Linked DNA regions of Elephas maximus indicus. The protein of the gene in region 2 binds, or shares a complex with, the protein of the main gene of each other region. Links are inferred from orthologs where the notes say so. Each region holds a gene or a part of one and is shown on either strand. Other genes may lie near its edges.

Region 1 (2,845 bases), on a different chromosome or scaffold from region 2:
AAGAGGATTAGGGTGGGATGGAACACCCCTACTCAGGTCACATCTCTAATCCAATGTAACACGAGTTCCTCTGGGGTATGGCCTGTACCACCTTTTACCTTACAAGAGATAAAACAAACAGAAGCAAGCAGAGTTGAGGGCCTCATACCACCAAGAAAGCAGTGCTGGGAGCAGAGGGTGTCCTTTGGACCAGGGGTTTCTGTGGGGAGAAGCTCCTAGGCAGGGGAAGACTGATGACAAGGAGCTGGAGCTGACGAGCTGAATTTGGATTTCTAATTTGGATTTCTAGTCGGAATCAACTCAATGGCAACAGGTAGGTAGCCTACTAGACCGTGAGAAAGTAAAATTTCTCTTTGCTAAAGCCATCCACTTGTGGTATTTGTTACAGCATGTCCAAAGTACATGTCTCTCAACATAGCCTACATTTTAAAATTTGGAACATTTTTACAATTTTTCTCCCTTTATACCACTCTTGTGACAAAAAGCACTACCCACCCCCCCCCCCCCCCCGCAAAAAAAACCAAACGCACTGCCTTCGAGTGGATTCCGACTCATAGCAACCCTGTAAGTCAGAATCGACTTGGGAAAGTGTGGACATCTTATTTTATTATTATTAATGTAAGCATGTGATGCCAAAGAAATGAAGATAATTTTACAAACTAAGATTTTTTCTAAGTATGTGAAATTTCCATTTTATTGTAAGGTTTTATATCACACCAGTTCAAAGGCATTTCTTTAGAACTCTTCTAGCACAGCTTCTCTGGAATTGTTTCAATCGTTCCTAGCATGTGACTTGACTAAACAGCTTAAATCTAAATAACCAAACAACATTTCAAATGACTAACTTTTTAGACGAGTAGGATAAAGTATAAAGTTATCAGCTGATGGATGAGGCTATTAATTTCCAAGACACTTGTCAAAATGTTTCTTCTGATATAGTAGTAGTTGTTATAAATCAGAACTTTGAAAAAATAAGGGCAGAACAAGAGTATAATAAAAGAAGCTCCTGCAGCTTAAGCCTCCCATAGTCCTAAGCTTCTGACAGAAGCAAGGCAAAGTACCTTTCCTGCAAACTAAACGGGATTCCAGTATTTCAATCTGGTTGAACTTTCAGAGAAAGGCCCAAGACCATCTTGGATCTGGCTGTATTAATTATGCCTGAAGAGTTTAATACCCATCCAAGTCCAAAGGTGGAAGAACACATAAACCGGTATGGTAATCGGCAAGAGCAGACTATAAAAGCAGAGGCTGGCTGTGCTAGTGCAGCCCTGAGGGAAGTTTTCTTCCACAGAGGCTGAGTAGAACAGTCCTGCTAAAGAAACCAGCGGAATAAGGACAGTCAACGTAGGAAGAGACAGAAACATTCTTCTTCCACACTTATTACCCGCCACTCTGACTTTTTAAAAGATAAATGATATTAAGAGAATTCAGTTTTCTTTTTTTTAAAAAAATTATGGTTTAGTGCTGCTCCATTTCTTCTTTCTTCTTATTTTGATGTGTCATCCTAGCTGCCTGTGGTATCATATTAGGAATGCCATCGATGACTGGATATGCTATTCCCAACTCTTCATTAATCAATTCATTTGTCGATGCTTCGTATCTAGGAAAAAAGAAAAGAATCACAAAGCGAATTTTGTAAAACAAAATTCTTGGAAGACCTTGATATTCAATAAATAATACTATTTGTCCAATTCTCGACAGAGTTAACACTGAACTGTATTCTTTAATTCTAAAAGCAGCAATAGCCAATATTACCATTTCTCTTATAAAATCTGTAATTGTTCCCATTTTAATCAATTTCTCTCAAATTCTCTTTTTACTGTATTCCCAAGTCATGCCTTAGTTAAAAGTTTTCTCTCATACTGCTCAGAAAATATTTCCTCTTTTCATCCAGACATCCCTTCATTCCTCTGGCTAACCCCAAAACCATCCCAATCCATTTACTACTGGAACAGAAACTAGAGAAAAATTCAATTTCCTGATTTAAGAATAAATGCTCAGTAAAGTATCCTAACTGATCCACTAGATGGAAATCGCTGAAAAATCAAAATACACAAAAGTTTGAGAACGATGGGAGGGCAGAAATGAGGAAACTTTGGAAACAAGTCTAAAGTGAGCGAGTTACACAATTAGCTAAAAGACAGACCCAACAATAATTTAAAGGTTTAAAAAAAATTGAATGACCGTTATGTTAATTATAGGGCACACTAGTAAAAGAGAAATGCAAAAAGATGAAAATAAAAATTACCGGCAATCTAGCACCCAAGTATAATCACTGTTAACATTTTGGTGTTTAGTTTATGCAATTTGTAACACTACCGTTGTCAATGTTCAGTTTTAATAGCTGGAACTGTACAGCCGCTTTAGCAAAGACTATGTTAAAGGTTAAGAGAGCATTTGCAATAACCAGTTAGTTCAGAGTGAAGAGCCAAAGGGCAGCAAACAAAGCTCAAATTTTTAAAATACCGTTAGGCAGTAGCTGTACACGGCCATTTCACAAAAATAAGCTACTAGCATATTTTTCATCACCGTGGGTTTAAAACCTGAACGCTTCACGAATCATCCATGGTCCTTTTCAGAAAAACAAACGTCCAGGCCCCGCCCCCAGGCATTCCGACCCGGTCCGCTCGTGTCGGTACCCAGACAACGTCCCCCACCCCCCGCAAATGCACCCTGGTGATTCCTTAGAGCACCTATCAACGCTCCGATGCATTCCGGCGGGCCGGCGGCTAATTTGGGAGGCCTGGGGCTCGGCTCGCCTCAAGTCTCCTTTCGCCCTTCAGGTCGCAGGAGAAGCTGCGTGGGCGCTCAGCAGGGCCTGGGCCCACAAAATGGCCGCCGAGAC
Region 2 (3,754 bases):
TCAAATTTAGGGAGTGGCTACTCTATAAAGACTGGAATTGCATGGCTCTAGGCTCTTGATGATTGAAATTTGAAAATTTCAAAACAAACTAAGGCAAAGTAAAAAAGGTGGGGTGAAGAGGGAGAAGGAGGCCAGGGCGTGTCTAGAAAGGTAGCATCCAGGGGCAAAATTCTCTGGTAGAGTTAAGATGTGGCAGTAGAGAGGGAAGTTATTTCGGACAGTATCTCCCCAGGCCATGCCTGTACTCAGTGCTCACTTCTGTCTGGGGAATACAGGCTATTTCAGGTTTTTGTGCACTTGACTTGGGTTTCTCAACTGCTCAGGCTTGCCCTTCTGATAACTACTCTCCACCCCTTATTAAGAAATCATCCTCTGTGAGACCTTTCTTGAAACCGCTGCCCTCAGAGGCTGAGCTGTTACCTTTTGGGAAGGCTGAGCACTAATGGCTTGTTTGTGAAGCTGGCCTCACTAAGCCAAGGAATCTTGTCAAATTTTGGAACAGAAACCTGAAGAGAAATGCAAAGAGGTTATTTTGTAGAATTTGTCACACTTGGCCCCTGCCATTATTACAATGATCAAACTAATCTGAGAGCAGCCATGCTTTACAGTCAATACTTTACAAAACATTTTCATGTTTTATATTTGACCTTTATAACCATCCCATGAAGTAGCCAAGAGCAAACACTGTTGTCTTCATTTAACAGATGAGGAAATCAAAACTTCCCCTGAGTCACAGAGCTAGTACGTGGCCTCAGGTCTGCTGACTTTTGTGTCCAGTATATCTTGTGTTCTACTGTATCTTTTTGCTTCTTAGTGCTTTCATCTGTTTATTCATCCTCTAATATTCCATGAGCACGGAGGACTATTAGCAACCTCCCGTGTCAAGCCTCTGGCTATGTTTTCAGCCACAGGGTCCTCCACTCTCACTCATTCCGGGAGCCAAAGAGGAAAGCACCAAGGTTTGAAACTAGAGAGAACTGGGTGTTAATCTCGGCCCATCCACTCTCCACCTGCGTGGTCTTGGACAAATGACAGTATCTCTGAGCCTCAGTTTTGCCCTCTACGAAAGGAGCACGATTTCATTACTTTGAAGGTCAAAGTGGAAGAAAGCAAGCCCCACGAGTACAGGGATTTTTTGTCTGTTCCACTGACTGCTTTATCAGGAGCACTTGGGAACAGTGCTTGACGCTTGTCCGTACTCGGTGAATACCTGCCCAAAGAACGCACGGATGCGTGGAATTCCCAAGCTGAGGACCGGGCTTAATAACAGGAGCTCAGTAAAAGAATTATTATTATTTTATATTATTATTATTAATTATTATTATTATTCTCTCTCGTCTCCCAGCCAGCGTCCACCCCTATCCTCGCCCGGCCCCCCACACCCCACTACCTCTTTCTGTCGGGATTAGCTTTCCCAGGTGCCCAGCGTTCGGCTTGGGACCAGGCGCAGGGCGAGCAACCAGCAGGGGGCAGCAGCGTCCTCGCGGCGCTCCCTGGGCGGAGAAGGACGCTCTGGCCGCGGAGGAGGTGGCGGACCCGGAAGTGTTCCTTCGCCGTCGCGACCCCGGCGCCCCGGATGGGGAAGGAGGCGGGCGGCCGCCCTCTCCCGGCCGCGCACCCCTGGGAGCCCGCGGGCAGGTGGGTTCCTAGTGGACGTCAGTGTTTCCGGGTCCCCTTCTCCTCTGCCATCCCCCGTAGGCCCAAGGCTGGATGAGAGGCGGCGGCAGGCAGGGGAGGCCCGGGAGGGCGGGAAGGGCGCCCCCAGGGCCACCCTGCCTCCGCCGCGACCCTGAAGGCGGGCGTTGCCCACATCGGCGCCGCACAGCGGGTGGCTGCGGGCTGGGGTCCCTGCTCCAGTGCGGGGGCGCCCAGGGTGTCTGGCTTGTGAAGCAAAGCCTATCGTGGTCTCCATGGAAGAAATAAAGGTTGGGCAGTAAGAATTTTCTTCGCGGGTTTGCTGGATTGGCCCTGGTGTTTCTGACTTTTTCCCGTTGTGGAAAAGGAGTGATTTTTTTTTCCGTCCTCACAGGAGTTTCGCGGTTTTAAGTCGGACCGTAGCTCTTCAAAGGATGTTCAGCTCGGTTAATGGTTGAAGAATCTTTAGTTCCTTTGAGCCCTTGGTTTTGGGTAAATAAACCGCAGAGCTCATACCTTTCCGTATTGTGCGGTTTACTGTTGACTTTAGAGCGGCCCCTCTGAAGCCCATCCACGGACTCTGGTATGGGAACCAGCAGTGAGGAGCTGGCTTAGAGGGAGACAGGAGGTGAGGCCCAGGCTTTGGGATCAGACTAGGGTTTGAACACTGGCTCCCCAGTTTACCACTGTGTTACCTTGGGCTGAAGTTACCTAAGCAATTGGAACCTCAGTCGTTTTCCTAGTTAAAGTGGAACTAATACAACTTGGAAAGATTATGAAGATTAAATGAAAGATGGTACGTAAGCCACCTAGCACATAGTAAAAAATACAGGTACTCAATAAATGCTAGCTAACAGTAGTAAGTATTATTGTTCAAGGAATTATAATTTTAAAATGTGAAATGCAGTTTAAATGTCCATAATTATGAAATGGCTACTACTGCTCAGACTTTTAGTGGGTTGAGTTGGTTTGATTTTTAACTCAGTCCTATCCTTGACCTTTCACAGCTTTTGTAGGTTCATAGTCTCTCTTTTTCTAGGAAGTTGCTGTATTGTCCTGCCTCAGAGAACAAGCTCAAGCCTAGCCTGGGTTGCTGCCTTTGAAAGCAAGGGAAGGTCTGTAAAATATCAACTACAGCACAGCATGGAATTTCCAGAGAACTCTTATTTCAAAACTTCATAAAGAACCAGAACTACATGGACTTCTGCGAGGGAGACTGACCTGGCCTGAGCTTGAGGGAAAGGATAATGTGTGACCAGCCAGTAACTAACACCAAGGAGGCCAGGTGGCAGAAGGTCTTGTATGAGCGACAGCCGTTTCCCGATAACTACGTGGATCCACGGTTCTTGGAAGATTTCCGGAAAAACATCTATGCCCGGAAATACCAATATTGGGCTGTGGTGTTTGAGTCCAGTGTGGTGATACAGCAGCTGTGCAGTGTGTGTGTTTTTGTGGTTATCTGGTGGTATATGGACGAAGGTCTTCTGGCCCCTCACTGGCTTTTTGGGACTGGCCTGGCTTCTTCATTGATTGGCTATGTTTTGTTTGATCTCATTGATGGAGGTGAAGGGCGGAAGAAAAGTGGGCGGACTCGGTGGGCAGACCTGAAGAGTGCACTAGTTTTCATTACTTTTACATATGGTTTTTCACCAGTGCTGAAGACCCTGACAGAGTCTGTCAGCACTGACACCATCTATGCCATGTCAGTCTTCATGCTGTTAGGCCACCTCATCTTCTTCGACTATGGTGCCAATGCAGCCATCGTATCCAGCACACTGTCCTTGAACATGGCCATCTTTGCCTCTGTCTGCCTGGCCTCACGCCTGCCCCGGTCCCTGCATGCCTTCATCATGGTGACATTTGCCATCCAGATTTTTGCCCTGTGGCCCATGTTGCAGAAGAAACTGAAGGCATGTACCCCTCGCAGCTACGTGGGGGTCACACTGCTTTTCGCGTTTGCATCCTTGGGAGGCCTGTTATCCATCAGTGGTGTGGGAGCCATACTCTTTGCCCTTCTGCTTGTTTCCATCTCGTGTCTCTGCCCTTTCTACCTCATTCGCCTGCAGCTCTTTAAAGAAAACATTCATGGGCCTTGGGATGAAGCTGAAATCAAAGAAGA

Evidence for each region.
Region 1: PIGC (region 2) and PIGY share a complex: the UniProt entries of both Homo sapiens proteins name them as parts of the glycosylphosphatidylinositol-N-acetylglucosaminyltransferase (GPI-GnT) complex. The link is inferred for Elephas maximus indicus from reciprocal best matches to the Homo sapiens genes PIGC and PIGY.

The regions. Positions count from the first base shown.
Region 1 is NC_064823.1:66,838,164-66,841,008, forward strand, and holds PIGY (phosphatidylinositol N-acetylglucosaminyltransferase subunit Y), read right to left. Parts: upstream 1,382-2,845; 5' UTR 1,365-1,381; coding exon 1,149-1,364; 3' UTR 608-1,148; downstream 1-607. Other genes in the region: PYURF (protein preY, mitochondrial), read right to left, coding at 1,459-1,600. UniProt on the Homo sapiens protein: Part of the glycosylphosphatidylinositol-N-acetylglucosaminyltransferase (GPI-GnT) complex that catalyzes the transfer of N-acetylglucosamine from UDP-N-acetylglucosamine to phosphatidylinositol and participates in the first step of GPI biosynthesis.
Region 2 is NC_064821.1:210,810,374-210,814,127, forward strand, and holds the start of PIGC (phosphatidylinositol N-acetylglucosaminyltransferase subunit C), read left to right. Parts: upstream 1-1,350; 5' UTR 1,351-1,638; intron 1,639-1,675; exon of another isoform or gene 1,676-1,925; intron 1,926-2,674; 5' UTR 2,675-2,882; coding exon 2,883-3,754. UniProt on the Homo sapiens protein: Part of the glycosylphosphatidylinositol-N-acetylglucosaminyltransferase (GPI-GnT) complex that catalyzes the transfer of N-acetylglucosamine from UDP-N-acetylglucosamine to phosphatidylinositol and participates in the first step of GPI biosynthesis.